4 linked regions of the Arabidopsis thaliana genome follow. The protein of the gene in region 4 binds, or shares a complex with, the protein of the main gene of each other region. Each region holds a gene or a part of one and is shown on either strand. Other genes may lie near its edges. The genes, in order: NdhT, PnsL1, NdhS and PnsB1.

Region 1 (4,848 bases), on a different chromosome or scaffold from region 4:
GTTTTTTTCAAAAAAATGATAAGGAGCTATATATATATATATATATATATATATAGGTACACACCTAAGACTTAAATGCTTTGTGTCTCTTTCTTATAGGTACAATATATCTCGCGGAAGAAGGCTACTGATTCTTTGTTTGTATAGGGGCAATTATGTCATATTTAATTTACAAGAAAATTTCCACCTAAATAACTAAATGATATGTGTAGATCCTTAATTATATATTCTTCCATGTATAGATATTTCATTCACCCTTTTGTTTATCATTCATAAACTATAATCCGCAGTAGTGCGAATTAAAAAAAAAAAAAGTTTGCGGTGTACTAACTACAGATAACTTTTACGTAGAATTTTTTTTATCCGCATGCGATTTATCGTCCGCTCTAAAAATAAAGTGGTTTTGTCTGTTAGCGATTTAGTGTGCTTTTTTCATTGCATCCATTGAAACCAAAATAGAATACAATAGACTAAGGCCTTGAATGTTTTGTAGATTTTGTAAGAGTTTTTAGATTTTGTTTTTCAAAAACTTATTTTTATACCAATCAAGATTATAAAATTTTGGTTTCCCTACAATTTAGAAAAACTATTTTGTTGTAGTTTTTGATTCATGATTTTAATTTTATAGTTTTCCTAAAACTTAGGGAATCTAGTTTTTACTCCATCAACGTTATTTTTCTCAAAAACTAAAAACCAATTTTTTGGGGTTTTTAAAACAAAAATATAATAACAAAAATCTAAAACTAAAATCTAAAATCTAGAAACTAAAATCTAAATCCAAAAACTGAATCGAAAATCAGCATCCATTCAGGGTCTAAACCAAAAATAAATCATCGAATCATAAATAATTTTTAGTTTTGATGGATTTTTGAGAAAAAAAATATTTAAAAATATTATTAATCTTGAATTTTACAAAAGAAACTTGAAGTCTAAAAATATTATTAATCTTGTAAGGACTGTCAAATGCTTTTAAAGTCTTAACAGTCCAATGTCAATCACCCCCTAAATAAATACTAGTGGTCATAGAAGTAGGAACCACTTTCCCCTATCTCCATTTTTGTATGAATCCATGATTCCATATTCACGTCCATGTTGTATACCCTATTTAAGTATAAAAATAAGAAGATAATCACATAATTTTTCTACCAAAAGACTATTGTTCTTATCAATTTCCATATCCTTGTTTTTCATTTTGTATCAGAACAAAAATTCGTACAATGACTACGAATAACAAGGACACACTTGATCAACTTAAAGTAAGCTTTGACGACGTCCAAGAGAAGCTCGTGAAGATGCATGTAGAAGTAGAAGTCAATGAGAAATTTGCTCACATTGAAGCCTCGCTAAAACAGTTCATTGAGACAATGACAACACAAGCCATGTTCCAAATCAAAATGTGATCGACGACATTTAGTACTTAACCGTTGACGTCTCAATTTGGGTTTCCAGTGAAAGGCTTATAGTGCTTAGTGTGCAGACAATTTTGGCTTCTTCACGTGCTATCACCCTTCATTTACTCAAACTAGTCTGAAAGAACAACAAAATCCTTTATCACTTCATCTAGTTCTATTAGCTTATGTGCGTTTGTTATGCGGATGGACTGAAGTTTGCTTGATAAATTATGCTTCATGTTTTTCTTTTGTCATGGGACCATTTATAGTCTTTTGATTATACTCTTAAACTGTTTTCATTTTTAGTGAAATATTTACATCTTAGGAAAAAAAGAAAAAAAAACGTAGTCAAAATGTGCATCGAACAGTTCTAAGGAACACGTCTAAGGAGGATTGAGTCAGGTGCTACATATATATAAGACTTGATAAAAGGGTATTGTTGCAAAAGGTAGTGAAAAAAGGGTAGTTTTGCAAATCTCCCTAGTTTTTATTCCTACTATACTTCCCAAACTAGTGAATTCCGCATTAGTTATCAAAACTACTATTTTGTTCGCTTTGTTTTATATAAATGAGACTATTTGGATTAGCTAGGTAAGCATAACAAAATATAGCTCTAAAACAATGTTTGGATAGCTTAGAAAAAATCCAAAAATAACACACACACAAAAAAGGTGAGGAACAGAACCACTAGACCACTTTATTTTAGTTCAAATGATCTTATAATCTGTAATTGTTAATCTTCCATCTACATATAAACTATATGAATTTTCCAAGTATATACAAAGCTCCTTACCTAGTAAGAAGGATCTTTGAAAACAATCACAAAAGCTATACAACAAACAGCGAATAATACGATCAAAATATCGAACGTGAGAGCAGTCATTGCTTGATCACTAAGCTCCATGTTTCTTCCACCTAACCGGTCAACCATATCAGGTATTGATTCATAGCCCCTAAAATCTTGCTCTTTCGGATCCTCTAGCTTCATTCTCATTTTCTCAGCTTGACGACTCGCAACTTCTTGAGCCAGTGTCCAGTCATAAAACCTCCGAGTCTCTTCATCGCTCAAAACATTGTACACTTCTCTTAATTTCATGAACTTTTCTGAAGCTGTTTTAAGTGGTAGTGAAGTTGTATCTGGATGATACTCTTTAGATAATCTCCGGTACGCAGATTTTATCTCTTCTAGATCAGCATCCGTTGAAACACCTAAGAATCTGAAAATGATTATTGTTACATGTTACAATACATATTGAAAAATAAAAATAAAAAGATATGTAATGAGAATGTTTGTTTTGCTCACTGGTAATGAGAATCAAAAGAGTCTTTGATTAGTTCTGCAAATTTTTCGTCACTAAGGAGATTGGTTTTGTCCTCATCAACCGATTTGGCCGGGTCGGATCTTCCTCCGATCCAGCCTTCGTCCGGGCTTTCCCAGTGGATTCTTGTGTCTACTCCTGGAGATGGTTTTGACGGTTTAGTCGGGCCTTGTGACGCGTATATACGCGTCACTCTTCTTGCTGTTATCCTTCTAAATGCTTTCGTGTCATCCGTGAAATGCGCGCCGTTTTGGATTTTGGGTAGGATAATGCATGAGGTTCGTGCATAGGTAGAAGTTGCATAAGCCATGGCTCTGTGTTGAAGATGGTTTGTTCTTTTTTTTTCTGCCCTTCATGTTTTTGGTTTCTCTTACCGCAGAAACTTGTTCCAGAACCTCATGATATGTGTGGTGTAGATTTTCTTTATATCTTTTGTTGTCCTATCTAGTGTCCATAGGAACAAAAAATTTAAATAATTAAATGTCAACAAAAAAAAAGTATGAAACGTAAAGATATAAGAGACAAAACGTTGAGAAGAGAGGGGCAATGAGAGGAAGAAATAATGTAGAGATAAATGATTTCTTTCTTTGGAAGCGATGTCTAAATATGTTATGCAACAAATGTGTGCGTTTGTAATATATATAGGGTAAAAATAGACAATTGTATCATAATTAGGATATGACCCGCGATATACCGTAAATTAAATTTATTTATTTATTTTTCTTTATCACAAAATATAATTTGTTGTTTGTTGTTGTTTGTGATGATTAATAATTATCGATAAGGTTGTGTATGTTTTTTATTGAGTCACAATTATGATATTAATAAGTCTAATATATGTTATTTTATCTTTTAGGATTTGACTTGTGATAGACCATACCACGGGATAATATTTTATTTTATTCATAATTTGTTATAAAAAAATTATTTAATATAAACTTTTGGTGTTTTCAAATTTAATCCATGGAACATATGTAGTTTAGTAACTTTATATTAAAATTACACATTTAAATGTATCAAAGAAGAATAACATTTAGAGGTGTCAAAGAAGATTAACACTTATACTAAAATGTTGATTTTATTTATTTTTTTGTAACTAAAAATTTGAAATTAAAATTGTATTTGTTATGTTATTATTGTTTGTTTTGTTTACTATTGTATAGTTGTAATTTGATTGTTAATTCTAGGAGTACACCCGTGGTATCCAAATTTTTCCCATCTAAACTCATAGCACCATATAATCTCGTCTCATCCAAACCCGTCCTACCATGTAAACTCGTCTCCTGTAAACCCGTCCCGCCATATAAATCCGTCCCGTGATAACTAAAAATCAAATTGTTCTTTTTCTTTTTAATAATATTTTTATTTAATATACTTCGAGTCGGTTTACAATTTCAATTTAAAAAGAAAAATTGTATAATATATTGAAATTTTAACAATTTCAATCTAATAAGAATCAATATCGGATCGTTTCGAAGATTTTATATCGAATTCTTTGAACAAAAAATAACACAATTTCTTGTTAAATATTTTGTATCTTTTAAATTAATGTATTTCCTATTTGTATATTTTATATTCAATATATTTGGTTTTGATATAAATTAGAAAATCCGTTTAAATAATTATTAAAATTTGAATCCCGAAGATATTTATGTGATTTTTTATAATTTAAAGATTGTTGTTGAGATTTTTTAGTGTCTATTTTTTGTTGCATTTATTTGTTTGCAAGGTCTATCATAATTAAGGTGAAGTTACAAAAAGATCTGTAAAGTATAATATCGTTCACATATTGATTATAGAATTATTTAGATTATTTTTAAAAAGGAAAAAATTACAACATATGCCATATTTTTTCCAATCCTTATGCAATCTGCCATAATTTGCTGGGCCTTACAACTCATGTCATATTTCATACTGAAATATCGATTTTGTCCCTCTCCATTTCTTCTCTATTTTATCTCTCCTTCCTTGAAATCTGTGCGCTTTAACCATATATTATTATCTTCCCGAAGATGAAGCGCTTTTGTCACTCTCTCACTTTCTTTGACAACCTGCACAGATTCTTTACATGTAACTTTCAATTAAATTTGTCTCTCAATTTTATTCATCACAATATTTCTGTTGTATCTAGATCTTGT
Region 2 (5,297 bases), on a different chromosome or scaffold from region 4:
CTCTTCGCCTGTAATGCGCTCCTCCTGTGGTACACCGCGTTATCAGTAGACCGCAGATATATGAAATTGTCTACAGCTCTAACCGAGTACATGGTCTTCTCCTTTGCTACATTTGCTCTTGTGGAGCCATTCGGATTAGCACCTTACATTCTCAAGCGCCGTAGATCTCTCGCTTCAGTTTTTGAAATAATAGATCGAGTTCCTACAATCGAACCTGATGATACCTCGGCTCTTAGTCCGCCTAACGTGTATGGAAGCATTGAACTGAAAAACATCGACTTCTGCTACCCAACCCGCCCGGAAGTGTTAGTACTAAGCAACTTCAGTCTCAAAGTCAATGGCGGACAAACAGTAGCTGTGGTTGGTGTTTCTGGTTCTGGAAAGAGCACAATAATATCGTTGATCGAGAGATACTACGACCCAGTTGCTGGTCAGGTCTTATTAGATGGGCGAGACTTGAAGTCATATAATTTGAGATGGTTAAGAAGCCATATGGGTCTGATTCAACAGGAACCCATAATCTTTTCCACAACGATCAGAGAAAACATTATATACGCAAGGCACAATGCAAGTGAAGCTGAGATGAAGGAAGCAGCAAGGATTGCAAATGCCCACCATTTCATCAGCAGCTTACCTCACGGATACGACACACATATCGGGATGAGAGGTGTTGAGCTTACCCAAGGACAAAAACAGAGAATCGCTATAGCTCGGGTAGTGCTGAAGAATGCTCCAATACTGTTGATTGACGAAGCGAGTTCATCTATCGAATCCGAGTCGAGCCGTGTTGTGCAGGAAGCTCTTGATACATTGATAATGGGGAACAAAACAACAATTCTGATAGCGCATAGAGTAGCGATGATGAGACATGTGGATAACATTGTGGTTCTCAATGGAGGCAAAATAGTAGAGGAAGGTACGCATGATTGTTTAGCGGGTAAAAACGGATTGTATGTCCGTTTAATGCAACCACATTTTGGCAAGAATCTACGGCGACATCAACTGATCTAAAAGAGATTGGACTCATGTGCCTAATTGAGATTAGTTCAGTCACATACCAACCATCATGTGATATGCCACGAGATAACGTTATTGGATGTAGTTACAGGACATGCATCTGATCAAAGGCTTATCGGGTCCGGGATGACAGCAGATGAGCAGAAGTTGTACAACCACGGTTAGTTTCTGTAAGCAACTTAGGAGTTTGTAGACGTTAGATTCCCTTATTCTTTCAGGAGGCTAAGCAATGAAGTAGGACTGTGTTATTTATTCATTGATTGGTCTCTTAAGGTATATCGATTTGTTTATTGAAACTGAAGATTAGAGGCAATTTTATTTGCTGAGGTTTGCTTTTTTGTTGTTGTGAGTGATTTAGGTGGAGAAGTGTGTAATGGCTAGGAAGAAATATGTCTGTTTTGTAAATACATTATTTCCACTTTATTTGCAAGTTTGATTGAATTACTGAACCAACTCAGAATCTAACTCACAATGCCAAAACCATCGTTGGAGTTATAGAGAATATGAAAATATCAAATTGTTATCTACAGACAGTTTTGTAACCACAGAGAGAGAAAGATATATAGGAGTAAGATGTTTCTTGTGTTTGTCAAATCTGAAGGATCTTCAAAGAGTCGGCCACAACTTGAAGCTGCTTTTTCACTTTCCTCCACCTTCTCTCATTTGCTCCAACTATGAGAGTGTAGTATCTGTCTGCAACATCAAATCAGTCATAACACTTGTTTATTCCTCAATTTCTTCTCTCATCTATCTCATAATTCTTATAATCTGTGCTTACTGTTTCCAACTGCCACTGTTGCAAAGGAAGTGGTTGCATAGATAGGAGTTCTTAGTCCATACTCAAACGTGTAATAGTTCTTTCCATCTTCCACCCTCTGCATTTTCATCTCTTATTGTTTATAAAGATCCAATCTCTCAACAACTTTGATGATTCTTTAAGATGTTAACAATCATCTGACCTCTTTCATATCGTAGATGGTAGCTACTTGGTTTGGTGCTGCAAACTTATGCTTCACTAGATCATAAACCACCTGATGAACATATATAAGAATGATGAACCAATGTGAATTCTCTAATGACATAGATGGTAGAGGGAAAGTAAGGTGTGTAATACATACCTCTTCCATAGGACCTACTTCATGGATGTCGTTTTTCTCCGTTGGTATGAACCTGACCCGCACATTCTGCAGTTGCAAGTATCTATCTTTGAAGGCTGAATCATGTGCCCTGAAGTCAAATTCCTACGTAGTAAGGGCAGAACAGAGATATTCTCAATTCATTTATGTTTCATTCTTTCAACAAAAATGGAAACAAAGCCATTACCCACCCTCCAGTCTGATGGGTAATAGTAAGAATACCCGTCTTCTCGATCCACAAAAGGCGAGTAGCTTTTTGGTATCTCTGCAAACATGATATGAATCAACATATTAGGCTTTTGGTCCCAAAAGAATGAAGAAGAGAGGCAAAAACAAAACCCTTAGTTTTGCAGATTACCTTCAGCAAGAAGCAAAGTTGCTGGAATTGAAGTTGCCACTAAAGTTCCTACTCCCACAAGAGCTTGCCTTCTCTTCCAATTGTTTCCGCTGCCTTTTTGGTAAGCTATTGAATTTTAATAAAAATCAATCCACACAAGTCAATGTATTACGTATGAGAAGGAAAATGTCACAAGAGTTTAGTTTCTTACTACTCTCCGAGGAGTCGGCCTTACCACCGGATGAAAGTAAACAACAAGCTTTGAGTGATGGATTTGGACAGAGAATTTCTGTCTGGTAAGAAATATGAATCAATGAACAATAATGATTTTTAGTTTTCAGAAATGGAGACTGGAATCAGAACAGTGTTATTAACCTTGTGGGAGATTGTTGGTGAGAAACCACCACAGCGGATTGAGAGTGAGGAGACTGCCATAGTGGCTACAATTCACAAGACTTTTGATGATCAATGAACATTGCCTTAGTGTTCTATGTGGATAAGAAATTTCTGATTTTCGTCATTTCTCGGACTTCTCCATTCATCAACATGTGGATAAAAGGATAATGAAAGATGCAAACAATATGTGGTGATAGATCGATTTATGATCATTTACTGGTTAGAGAAGATACTGCATTTGTATGTTTACAGTTTATAAGTTAGTGAGTTTTAAAAAGAGAATCTTGATAAGTCAAAAACATAGAACTTGAATTCAACAATAAACTGCAACATGAATGTATTGTAAAACGTTTTTGCTCCAAAATACTACAATTACCAGATGATAGTAATAATAAATATCTTAAAAGCAAAACTGAGACTACAAGAGACAAAACCACAATAGTCTTTATAACTGCAGAGATAGATAGACTTAGATGATGCCGATCTTGTTAGCAACATCCAAAGCATCATAGTCTGGTGTAAGCCTCACGTAAGCCTTCTTGGTTCCATCAGGCCTGTAACAAAACCAAACCATAGTGTCAAATATATTGAACATAATCAATCTCACAACAAGGCTTCATAGAAAAATACTCTTTAAAGTACCTGATGAGTGTGTTCACTTTCTTGGTCTGGATGTCATACATCTTCTTAACAGCATCCTTAATCTTCTTCTTGTCAGCACGAATGTCAACAATGAAAACAAGAGTGTTGTTGTCTTCAATCTTCTTCATCGCAGATTCAGTGGTGAGTGGGTACTTAAGGATTTGGTAGTGATCCAACTTGTTCCTTGGAGTAGCGCTGATTTTTGGGTACTTACCAGTTCTAGGCTTGGTAAGAGTCTTTGGCCTGTGGAAGGTGACCTTGGTCCTAATCTTTTTGTCCTTCTTCTTGAAGGCTTGACCAGACTTCACAGCCTTTGCCGCCTTCAAGGCCTTGGCCTTAGGATCAGCCTTCTTGGTAGTATCAACTGCAAATTACATACAACAGAGAGTTTAAGCATCATATAATACTTTGATACAAATCTGACTTCAATACATGAATACTCAGAAACACGTCTACAGACAAAATTCATTTGGATACTACATTAATCTCACTTAGTTGAAGCTAATCAGGAAGATATTGAAACTAATCACCTAACGAAACATGATTAGAAAACATTAATCGAGACCAGATACTAGCGGGTTCAGCAAAACTAAAGTCTAGTAGAAGAAGATCCAAATCCATCATGTTCCAGTGAAGATTCAAGTGGTTATCAATGAAAAGATCGTACCTTTAGCCGGAGACATGGCTTGAAATGATTCTTCACACACGAAATCTGTGAAATTTTTAGATAGAAACCCAGAAAGCGAAGCTCAGTAATGAATCTGAAGAAAGAAATGTAGGACGATTTCGAGAGATAGTTTGCAAAATCGAGACACGAACCTGGAGAGGTGAAGCCGCTGATTCTCAAAACCCTAACTTACGCCGCAACAAGTTTTATAGTGGAAACTGAAACCCTAAGATACTTAGTTGGGTCTATAATGGGCCTTTTTACCACAATCATCATCTAACCCAGTAAGCTTTGGATTGAATAAATGGGCCTTTTACCATAATCGTCCATCGGACGCATAAGCCATAAGTGACGAAAAATTTCATTAGAAAAAAATGAAAATGAGCATAAGATCACTGATTCTTTTGGTTGCACAAAAAGATACTTAAAAGATAATATGGGCTTGCAACATTGTAAATAGGCCTTTGACCAAAATCATCATGTAAAACCCAAATAGAAAGTGAGCGTAAATTTAAGTTACTAGTTTATTTTTAACGTAATGGTATTGGCGTAAGAAACATACAAACGTGTCTTTTGTCTTACCATACAAACGTGTCTTTTGGCGTAAGAAACATATTTGCTTCTTCTCTTGTGTCTATGACCTTTCTTTGGTTTTGCCATTCCAAAGTAAATTATTACAGAATAAAATTTAGTCAGCTTTGGTTTGACTTGAAAGCATACAATCTTTGACCAAACCAAAGCAAATCGAACAATGGCTAACCAAAAAACAAACCAATTGGTCACGAAACTAAACAATAATCATTTACTTACGCTTGACAATAAGAGAACAACAAGCCTGCTCTACATGTCTAATATTTTACGATAATTGTGAAGAAGAAAGCTTTAGCTGAACTGGCTTCTACCATTTTTCAAAGGTTCTTCTATATCTTGGGTCGGTTGTATCTAATACAGTTTTTATACTACATAATAGAGTTTGAGAGGGCACATATGTGACTCATAACCATGTCATGTCACGGGGTCGTTTAATTGCAGTTGAATCTCAACTGTACACGTGTGTATGATGACTCCTCCAATCACGTGCGAGATCCCAAATCCATTGAGA
Region 3 (4,653 bases), on a different chromosome or scaffold from region 4:
TACCAAATTTTGGTGGATTACGACCAACCACCCAAAAAGATTTTTACGCTTGACTAAGTCCTGGTTCTCTCTTAGTCTCTACCCTTTGCTATCAAACATTCAGTCTGAATCTGAGATTAACATAATTATGGCAATTAATGGCACTCAAACAAAAAACACGATTGAGTCAAAAACAAAAAAGAAATTCCTAGTTTGATTTTTATTTATGGTTTTGACTTGAGAGGGATTTTTTTTGTCCCAACAGAGAAACGAACATTGTGAGGCTTTTAAATGGGTCATATAGACTTATCTGGGCCTAACCACAAAAAATGGCCCACTTTTGGAGAAACTTTGAAAATAAACCCGAAGGTTCGGGAAAATACAGAGAGAGAAAATTTCCAGTCGCCGTCGTCAACATTCTCCTTTTGGTACACAGACGAGAACGAAAGAGCGAAAAGAAGATGAACGTAGTTCACGGTTTGAAGAGGATTCCTCGCATCAAATTCCCTCAGAGACATATTAATCCTTCAGGTTTTCGATTATCCATGAAACTCTCTACACAGAATCTATGTTATTTTTTCCACAATTTTGCTCGGCTTTTTCTCGCTTGATTCGAATTTTTTTTGTGTACGGTTTCATTTTCATGAATCAGATATGAGATTGTATTCATTTGGCTGTGAATTTTTGCTTTCCGATCTATTTCGCTCTGATTGATTTGCATTTACATAGTTAGATTCAAAGGATACACAGATTTGTTTAGCCATTGAATCGAATCGTGTTTGTTATCAAATCTCGAATCATTATAGAGAAGCTCTTATGTTTTTTAGCTTTTGGTTTGGGTAATCATCTGTTTGTTATGCGATTTACTTTCTGGCATTGCAGCTTCAGAGGGAAAGAGTCAGGTGGCAAATGAAGCTGATACATTGTTCTTCTCCAATTTGAACAACATCCAAAAGACTACTGGCGGGAAGGCATCATCGCAGCCAAAGCGCACGCCAGTTTCAAACGAAGAAATGGAAGCCATTTTGGTATGTAACTTCATTTTGACATGTATAACAACACTTAGATGAACATGTATCTAACAGTATAATGTGTGACCAACTACTAAGTTATAATTATGTGACCAATTACAAGTTGAGAGAACCCTTTTCATGATTTAATAATATTGTTCTGTTTCTAACTTCCTTATCCTTTTCTGAATTTTTTTTACAGTTGGGAGGCTGCATCTGATCATTTCAACATGATCTGTTGACAAGAATGGTGGATCACTTCTCATCTTTACCATTTACAGAATATACTCGATAGTCAAGAAGAAACTGATATGGTTGATGTTTACAACAACCAATGATAACAATAAAACTACTCCATTGCAGTTTTTAACTTCTATACTGATTCATCATTGATTGAGTGCATTTGAATCTCTATTATTAAGTGCTTTATGATTGAAATTCATCGTTTATTCTTTTTTTTATATCACATGATGAAGCTCTTTTAGAACCAGTCAGAAATATTGTAGCCTAAAACGCAAAGGTACGTTACATATACATTCACAGGAACTTACATACAGAGAAGAGAAGATCACTTATGGTGCTGCCTCTTCCTTTTGCATCTGTTCGATAAGAGGCTCGAGAATACAAGACTTTGGATTCTTACCCGGTGGACCTTTTTCTCTTCGTTCAAGCTCTTCAAGCCTGAAAGTAATGAGACGGTCCCAGTTTCCTCCTTCGAACAAGACACCAGCTTTTCCATCAGTGATCCTCTGCACAATTCCACAATACATGTGATACGGACTGTTCTGGTTCTTGACTATAGCAATCATCCCCGGCATGAGAAGGGGTAGCTTGGGCGCTTTCGGCTTCTTATCTGTAGCAACCGCGGATGCATCGCTTCCTTGTTTTGCAGGTGGTGGTGGTGGAGGAGGTGGTGGATTTTTTTCGATAAACGTTTTTAAACCCTTTTCGCCACCGGGAAATCCTCCTGTGAGACCCATCATCTCTTTCTCGAAACCATCTTCAGGTACTTTAAAAGACAAGTTACTGTCATCGCTCTCTCTCTCTGTCTCGTTGTTCTCAGCCTTTGATGTCTCTTGCTCGTCTTCAATGTTCCTCTGGAGCTCCTTCTCAATACCTTTCTCTCCGTTGCATAATCCTCTTCCTCCCATCACTTCCCATAGATTGAATTTACCCATGGCCTTTACTTGATACAGTTTTGACTGCTGTTTTGGAGGCGGGAAAACCGACCGGTTTACAGTTGAAAATTGATGTGTTTGGCCTAGAAATTTTGATCGATGAATCGGAGTTCTAATGGTCGGGATAGTGATCGAAGAAGTCGCCATAACTATTTTTGCCTGCAGAGTAGAGTAGAGGTGACTAAGGGAGATATGAAGAAGATGGAAGAGGAAGGAAGAAGCGTGTGATTGATTCGCTTGTTATAATGACCACATATCATGATTTCAGTTAGATGAGTTCTATCTATTTCCAAATTACCAGTGGACCTGAACCGGTTAATGCGTAACCGGTGTTTGGAATAATGATTTAGGAGAAAGAGTAGGAACATTTGGGCTTTGTCATAAGTTTAACCTGGACCAAGTTTGAATATTCTTAAGAGATATGGGCCTAGATTAAAAACAATGGTAATGTAATTAAACATATTGCTAAATGCTAATAATGTGGATTTGTTTGTTTATTAAGAAAAAAGCAGCAAGAAGAAGATAAATCATTTGGGTCAACGACATTAATAATTGGAATCCCATACTCCCAAATCATAATTAGACATACACTTTTGTCTTAGGCTGTCCTTTACACTCATCGGCATCACCAAATACTTAGTTGGCAACTTTGATCAATTAATGTATTAAGCATGAATGAAAACAACTTTTACATTGATTCGATAAATTCATTATATTGTAGATAAGATTAGTCAAAAGTTTACAAACATTCGTTAACAAATTACAAAACTTGTAATATCTGCAGCAATGCCCATGTGGGTAGAGCTGGCTGACGCAACCTAACCGGGGGATAAAAGCGTCTTTTTGGTACCAAATTTAAAGTTTCTTTATGAGTAAAATTCCCAAACCCAACATCTTCTTCCTGCTGAAGCAGTAAGCACTCAACCAAAAAACCAATTGCGTAAACACTTTCCCTTGAATACAGAGATCACATTCGATCAGGTAAAAACAAGGTCTCGATCTTCTCTTCAGTCAATTTTTTCAAATTATTCGAGGTTCCCGTCATTCGATTCCGACTTCCGAGCTTCTATTTCTGCTCAATGTTTTTGTATTTTGTTAGGGTTTCCAGAAAATTCGATTCTGTTGTTTTTAATTTGAGCTAATAAAATCTAGAATGGGAAAAAGAAAGAGTTCATTTTCGTCCTCTTTCTTTTTGTAGAAGCTGAACTTTGTTTTTCTTTTACAGCGAGCTGATTTCTCACAAGGGATATCAAAATTTCTGGTGAAGTGGGATTGTAAAATTCGGCGTTGAAAGATATATAAAGAGGTATGTTTGATCCTCAGTGAGGAATAAGGATTTTTAGTAGTTATATATCTCTCCAAGTGATGATACATACATACTTGTGGATTAGATCTATGATAAGAATAAGCATAAGATAGAGACTGAGAGACAAGTCATTTAGGGAGATTAAATAATGTTCATGGAATGCTAAAGTTCATATAGGAGTTTGTCTCATATCAGAATCTAGATTAGATCATGCTCAGATGACATCTCTTGAATGGACAAAAAAGTTTTTAACTATGTGATTTTTTCGACTTCTTTTGGGGAATCAATGTACTACAAGCTGAGAGTTTTAGAGTAGTTTCATCTCTGGCTAAGCTTTGATTCATTTTCTAGTGGAAGGTTCTGGAGTCGTTTCAATTCATGGATGATGGTACTCCTAAGAAGCTAAACATATTACCTGATCACTTTAGTGCTCCTAGTCCCACAGCAGAATCTTCTCAGCACGATACTCCATCATCTTCGCAGCCAAAGGACGATAGTTCTCTGAGGTAAATTGTTAGCGAATAAATATGCTAAGAAGGGAAATTCTGAGCTGAAATGAATTGTTTTTTCGGGTGGTTTTGTTTAGAGTAGGCCTTATAGCCAGTCACGGACTCGCAGAAACCTGAAAAGAGCAGCAACTATGTTGAATTTGTTCACTCTTCGCCGTCTGCCTTGGGTTTCAGATGGTCAAGAGAAGGTTCCATTCTCTCACACCTTTCTTCTTTGTTTTTGATTCACCTCATTGAAGTTTCAGGGTTTTCTCCTGAATCCTGATCACTCTCTCATTGGCAGGTCGAGCTATCAGCAGCGGAGTTAGAATCACTTAGATCAGAACTTTCTGATATGGAAGAAAGAGAAGCTTACCTCAAAGCCCAGTAAGTCATATACTCAAATTTGTTCCATTCTCAGATTAAAAGCGCATATCTCAATTTCTTCTTGCTGAACTGCTACATAGGTTGGAACATGTGGATGAAGTCTTGCGCTCTGCCCGTTTATCTGGTTATTTGTTTATCAGAAGTGTAGGGCCTTACTCTGAATTACTTATCATTATTGATCCACTAGGATGTTTTACAAATTTGCCTTATTTTTTTGTTTGACTTTAGCGTTGGGCAGCTCTTCCGGGTGAACCACCACCAATAGATGATACAGAAGTAGACGACTGGCTTCCTCGGTTTGTCGT
Region 4 (5,761 bases):
ATTGGTTCAACCGATAGCTTGTGCAGAGTACTCTTGACATCTTTGGTGTTTTCATGAACAGCACGTTAGGTCAAGGGCTGCAGACAAGTACATTTCCAGGAGAGGTTTTGTTTTCCATTGCGATTGCTATAGCTGGGCTTCTTCTTTTCGCGCTTCTCATCGGGAATATGCAGACTTATCTTCAGTCACTTACTGTTCGTCTCGAGGAAATGAGGATCAAAAGACGTGACTCAGAACAGTGGATGCATCACAGGTCACTTCCACAAAATTTGAGGGAAAGAGTCAGACGCTATGATCAATACAAATGGTTAGAGACAAGAGGTGTAGACGAAGAAAACATAGTTCAGAGTTTACCTAAGGATCTCAGAAGAGACATCAAACGCCATCTCTGTCTGAATTTAGTTAGGAGGGTAAGTTTTCACAATCAGAATGCTAAAATTGCTTGAGATACTAACTAACTATGTGTTCTGTTTCTACAGGTTCCTCTGTTTGCTAATATGGATGAAAGATTACTTGACGCAATCTGTGAGAGATTAAAGCCGAGTCTTTTCACGGAAAGCACTTACATTGTGCGTGAAGGAGACCCCGTTAACGAAATGATGTTCATAATCCGAGGCCGGTTAGAAAGTGTAACAACAGATGGGGGAAGAAGCGGTTTCTTCAACAGAGGGTTGTTAAAAGAAGGAGACTTTTGTGGTGAAGAGCTTCTGACATGGGCTCTTGACCCTAAAGCAGGCTCAAACTTACCTTCTTCCACAAGAACAGTGAAGGCTCTGACTGAAGTAGAGGCTTTCGCTCTTGAAGCTGAAGAGCTGAAGTTTGTAGCAAGTCAGTTTAGGAGACTTCATAGTCGACAGGTTCAACAAACATTTAGGTTTTACTCTCAGCAATGGAGAACTTGGGCTTCTTGCTTCATCCAAGCTGCTTGGCGTCGCTATTCAAGAAGGAAAAACGCTGAATTGAGACGGATTGAAGAAAAAGAAGAAGAATTGGGTTATGAAGATGAATATGATGATGAGAGTGACAAGAGGCCTATGGTTATCACAAGAAGTGAGTCTTCTTCTAGACTGCGTTCAACGATATTTGCATCAAGATTTGCTGCTAATGCATTGAAAGGGCACAGACTTAGGAGCTCAGAGAGTTCAAAGACCTTGATAAATCTGCAAAAGCCTCCGGAACCTGATTTTGATGCTGAATAATCCAATTCTTGATGAGAGGCCAACATCAGAACAGAGACTACATAACTGATTTATACACATAAATGCTCTATATATAGAACTTGTTTCAGAAACTGTAAAGTTATCTACACGAGAGCCAATGATCCTTCAAAGACCTGCATTGCATTTTTAACAGTTCCAATGTCGATATCTGCTAGTTTTCCAGTCTTCGAAGCAATAATTACACAGTTACTCTTCTCTTCTGCATACGGTACAAAGAGCTTCCCTTTCTCTTCTGAAGAGAACAACCCAATACTGGAAGAAAAAGAAGCACACACATGTTAGTTCTTGAAAACATTGAATCAGTACTCTTTATATTACTCAGGTATTCACCATGGTTTGTCTCGCGCATTAGCTAGTTGAATCGCAGCTGTGTTTGTTGCGATGACTCCAGCAGAATCGTTTATCAGAGCAGCCAACTAAGTAAGCTCAAGAAAAGGAATCAAAGTAAGATCAGTGAATTCAACTTTGTTCATAACAAATACAGACAGATAAGCATGCATACCTGTCCTGGTGTTGTGATGAACACTATAGATGTATCATCACCCACAAAATCTTCAACGTTTTCTCTTTCTTTCTCATGTGGAATCACAAAGACCGGCTTGAATCCCCTGGCATTGTTCACAATCATATCTCAGAGAATTTCAAACTAAGCAAAAAATTCACATTTTGAAGGTGTGTAATAATTACCTTACACCCTTTATAATCTTAGCCCATTTTTCAAGTGAAAGTAAACTATCAGCATCTCCTTTTGATTGCATTGATGCCTTAGAATCTGATTCAATACCATGAATCACTATAAACTTCCCCGTCACTGCTCCAGCATTCCTATACTTTGCAGCCACAACCTCTTTCACTTTCCGTGAAATCGATACCCTAAGTGGCAACAGAGGAGTCCTTGGAACACTCCTAAACGGTCTTCCTAACCAATCTTCCATCTGAGTATACCTGAAACCATCAACAGTCAATTTAGACAGGCGATAAAAAAACCTGCAGTTTCTTCGGTTTCAAGGAACTCACATGCTATAACCTAATTCTGAAAGGTTGGTATTTTCTGCTGTAAAGGTCTCGGACAGCATCAGACCAGCTCCTGCAGAGTTAACATTCGGGTAAATGTAACTAACCCTGTCTCGAGCCGTTGTCATGAACAAGAACGCTGCGTGGCCTAACCCTGCTAGCTTCGTGGACAGAACCATGTCATAGTACCTTCCCTGAAACATGACTTAAAAGAAAAGTTAACTAAGCAGTCTGATAAAGGAAAGATAGAAAAAACGTTGAAATATTTGAAAGTTACAAACTTTGAGGAGTCCGATCATGTCTGTGTATTCAGCTGGTTCAGGCCAATGATCATCCGGATCATACACATTGGCCCATCTCACGTTTTTGTTTAGCTCGTATGTTTGTTTTCCTCTTTCAGTCGTTAATATATCTACCTGAACACCAGGATACCTTACAAAACAACAGAAACGTACGGACAATGTTCTGCATTTCAGTTTAAGGTTTTAAAAAAATGTCGAATCGGAGACAGAGTCTTATACTTTTATTACCTGTCTTTGATTAGCTGAATAGTCGGGAAAAAGAGTAGATTCTCGTAAACGCCACCGGAGATAACGCAGCAACATCGTCTAACATCTCCTCTGATTTTCAACGGTAAAGAAGCAAGCTCGACGGTGTAACCCTTTGGAAACTTCAAGAAGCCGTAAGGGTTATCAGGATTATCCGGTGGTCTTGGATCCTCGTCTTGTTTTCCGTCGGCAAACAAGGACCCGTATTCGTTATCCGGGTCTTCACCGCTATCAAACGGGTCGAGCCACGGATTATTCTTCTTCTTGAGATTGACCGATACATCGGAAGATCTCGACGTAAGACGAGTTTGAAAGTTGAGGAAGACGAGTGGTTTGGAGGTAGAAAACGGCGGCGTTTTAAAGAATGGGGAAATGGGTTTGGGTAACAGAGGAAGTGAAGAAGCCATTGGAAGGTTTTTTTGAGCCAAAGAAAGAAAAGTTTGGATTTTTAAATGTTGTGAAAGAAAACAGATCTCTGTAGGAACTTAGGATAAGTGGGTCCCTTTTGTGGCAATTTTCCGACCATAGAAGAAAACTTAGCATTTAATTTATTTATTTTGGTTATGGCAATTCCAGAAATTATTCTCTGTTCGATTAATTAAAACTTTTGTCTTTACATTGGTTGATACGCACGAGCAAAGAAACATTCCTAATCTCAGAACTCAGAAGCATTAACCAACTGATTACAGTAAGCAATTAAACCATTTAACTTGTCGGGTCGAGCAATAAGGACCCGTTTCATTGTCGGGTCGAGGAACAAAAGAACAGAAAAAGCAGAAGAACCAAACGATGACGTGTTAAGTCGTGACTGGTGAATGACCTTTTCTCCTCGTCTCTCTCTCTCGATTTGATTCGTTTCGTCGTCGATCAGAAAAAGCTTCTTTCTTTCTTTTTTTTTTCTGGGTTTTTCTGAAGTCAAAAGCTTTTTTTTTCTTCATTGTTCAAAGATTTTATTTTGTTGCTCATTGTTTCTAACCTTGCTTTTCTCGTGAACACAGCAAGCAACTTGGTTTAGTTTTACTAGAAGATTCCTAAAAATGAGATATTTAGCGGTGACAAAAAAGTTTCATTTTTGGTGCTAATGTAGCTGTAAAGTCTAGGCCTTCCGATATATAATCTCTTGAAATAAGTTTCGAGACTGTTGGAAATAGCAATTTTGTTGTTGTTGTGTGATCCAGTGATAGATCTGTGAAATCAAAAAGCAGTTTTTTGTGAGAATCGGGTCAATGTCGGTTCCTCCTAGATTCCGGTCCGTAAATTCCGATGAGCGAGAGTTCCGATCAGTTCTTGGTCCTACCGGGAACAAGCTGCAGAGGAAACCACCGGGGATGAAACTGGAGAAGCCGATGATGGAGAAGACCATCATCGACTCAAAAGATGAGAAAGCGAAGAAACCAACTACTCCGGCTTCACCAAGGACGACTCTGAAGCAATGCTCGTCTCTTTGCTCTTCGATTTTGAGAAAGAATAGTGCTTCAATGACTGCTTCGTATTCCTCTGATGCTTCGTCTTCGTGTGAGTCATCGCCTTTGAGCGTGGCGTCTTCTTCGAGCTGTAAGAAGGTTGTGAGGCGAAGTGGGTCTGTCTCTTCTACAAGGAAGCTGAGTGTTGGGAAAGAAGAAGAGAAGGTTTCTGGTGATTGCTTCGCTGATGGTCGTAAAAGGTGTGCTTGGATCACACCTAAAGCTGGTAAGCATCAAACTTTCACCTATCACACATTGCATAGTGAGAGAGCTTTTGACTTTAGATGCATTCAAATAAATGAAATGAGTGAAAATGTGAATGTGAGATTGAGTTTAGCCTGATTGTGTGAGATGATAAAGTTCTTATCTAGTTGAATCAAATGGGACTGAATTGAGACAAGGAGCTAGTGTTTTTTGTTTGATCTAATTATGTTCTTCTGTATGTGAATATTAAGTAATTCAATGGCCAACAAAATGTTTCAATTGCTATGTATTTTATTCAGTGAGCATTGTGTAGATCATTTGCTATGTTGCATAACTTATGAAGTAGCTTGTCCTGAAGTTCTCTTATAAATATTTTAACTTCTCAGTGTCCATGAAATTTAGATGAAGGATGTTTTGATTAGCTGATAGATCCACTTCGTTTATGCTTTTAGTGTAAGCCAAACAGCGTTTTCTGGATTCTCTATACTAATGAGCATAAATGTTTCCATGCCAAGAGGCACTTTCCATTATTCTTTGTTGTTCTCTCATGCTTCATATCTTTCTCTGCTGTAAATTGACTAATAATGTTGCGTTTTTCTACGTTGTAAAGACCCGTGCTATGTTGCTTTCCATGACGAAGAATGGGGAGTTCCTGTACATGACGACAAGTATGTGGCATCCTCAACTATTTTCCTTCTATCTGAGATACACTTTGTAGTTATAAGAGTCTCTTACCGCTTGGTTAACTTGTGTAGGAAGCTTTTTGAGTTATTATGCCTCTCTGGTGCTCTAGCCGAACTCTCATGGACCGACATTCTCTCCAGAAGACATATACTCAGGTAACCAAACCAAGTTCTTTAGTAATATGAATTTTGAATTCGCAATATAAACTTCTGATGCTAAGCCAGTAGCTCTGATCTCTGATTGCCTAATTTGCTTCTTATTTGAAACAGGGAAGTTTTTATGGACTTCGATCCAGTCGCTGTAGCTGAATTGAATGACAAAAAGTTAACAGCGCCAGGTACTGCTGCCATTTCCTTACTATCAGAGGTCAAGATACGATCAATCCTCGATAACTCACGCCATGTGCGCAAGGTAACAGAACATAAGCTCACACTTACTGATCATAATTACTGAAAACTTAGAACTTGTCTAAATATTATAATCTGTCTGCCTGTTAATTCTTAACTTCATCCAGATTATAGCTGAATGTGGATCATTGAAGAAGTACATGTGGAACTTTGTGAACAACAAGCCTACACAGAGCCAATTCAGGTATCAGCGCCAAGTCCCTGTGAAGACATCGAAAGCT

Evidence for each region.
Region 1: PnsB1 (region 4) and NdhT share a complex: the UniProt entries of both Arabidopsis thaliana proteins name them as parts of the chloroplast NDH complex.
Region 2: PnsB1 (region 4) and PnsL1 share a complex: the UniProt entries of both Arabidopsis thaliana proteins name them as parts of the chloroplast NDH complex.
Region 3: PnsB1 (region 4) and NdhS share a complex: the UniProt entries of both Arabidopsis thaliana proteins name them as parts of the chloroplast NDH complex.

What each region holds. Positions count from the first base shown.
Region 1 is NC_003075.7:5,929,133-5,933,980, forward strand, and holds NdhT (Chaperone DnaJ-domain superfamily protein), read right to left. Parts: upstream 3,344-4,848; 5' UTR 3,021-3,343; coding exon 2,695-3,020; intron 2,609-2,694; coding exon 2,185-2,608; 3' UTR 1,978-2,184; downstream 1-1,977. UniProt on the Arabidopsis thaliana protein: NDH shuttles electrons from NAD(P)H:plastoquinone, via FMN and iron-sulfur (Fe-S) centers, to quinones in the photosynthetic chain and possibly in a chloroplast respiratory chain.
Region 2 is NC_003071.7:16,473,963-16,479,259, reverse strand, and holds PnsL1 (PsbP-like protein 2), read right to left. Parts: upstream 3,063-5,297; 5' UTR 2,926-3,062; coding exon 2,866-2,925; intron 2,784-2,865; coding exon 2,702-2,783; intron 2,617-2,701; coding exon 2,512-2,616; intron 2,419-2,511; coding exon 2,345-2,418; intron 2,259-2,344; coding exon 2,136-2,258; intron 2,049-2,135; coding exon 1,977-2,048; intron 1,893-1,976; coding exon 1,796-1,892; intron 1,711-1,795; coding exon 1,607-1,710; 3' UTR 1,417-1,606; downstream 1-1,416. Other genes in the region: ABCB6 (P-glycoprotein 6), read left to right, coding at 1-1,011; RPL23AA (ribosomal protein L23AA), read right to left, coding at 3,356-3,440, 3,529-3,892, 4,196-4,211. UniProt on the Arabidopsis thaliana protein: NDH shuttles electrons from NAD(P)H:plastoquinone, via FMN and iron-sulfur (Fe-S) centers, to quinones in the photosynthetic chain and possibly in a chloroplast respiratory chain.
Region 3 is NC_003075.7:12,419,032-12,423,684, forward strand, and holds NdhS (NAD(P)H-quinone oxidoreductase subunit S), read right to left. Parts: upstream 2,434-4,653; 5' UTR 2,315-2,433; coding exon 1,562-2,314; 3' UTR 1,383-1,561; downstream 1-1,382. Other genes in the region: AT4G23885 (uncharacterized protein), read left to right, coding at 441-510, 862-1,007, 1,192-1,209; AT4G23895 (Pleckstrin homology (PH) domain-containing protein), read left to right, coding at 3,852-3,979, 4,065-4,170, 4,266-4,348, 4,429-4,492, 4,577-4,653. UniProt on the Arabidopsis thaliana protein: NDH shuttles electrons from NAD(P)H:plastoquinone, via FMN and iron-sulfur (Fe-S) centers, to quinones in the photosynthetic chain and possibly in a chloroplast respiratory chain.
Region 4 is NC_003070.9:5,486,742-5,492,502, reverse strand, and holds PnsB1 (NDH-dependent cyclic electron flow 1), read right to left. Parts: upstream 3,359-5,761; 5' UTR 3,190-3,358; coding exon 2,765-3,189; intron 2,667-2,764; coding exon 2,516-2,666; intron 2,429-2,515; coding exon 2,238-2,428; intron 2,166-2,237; coding exon 1,908-2,165; intron 1,829-1,907; coding exon 1,723-1,828; intron 1,637-1,722; coding exon 1,551-1,636; intron 1,473-1,550; coding exon 1,304-1,472; 3' UTR 1,200-1,303; downstream 1-1,199. Other genes in the region: CNGC7 (cyclic nucleotide gated channel 7), read left to right, coding at 62-410, 480-1,199; AT1G15970 (DNA glycosylase superfamily protein), read left to right, coding at 4,009-4,471, 5,060-5,117, 5,205-5,288, 5,403-5,544, 5,648-5,761. UniProt on the Arabidopsis thaliana protein: NDH shuttles electrons from NAD(P)H:plastoquinone, via FMN and iron-sulfur (Fe-S) centers, to quinones in the photosynthetic chain and possibly in a chloroplast respiratory chain.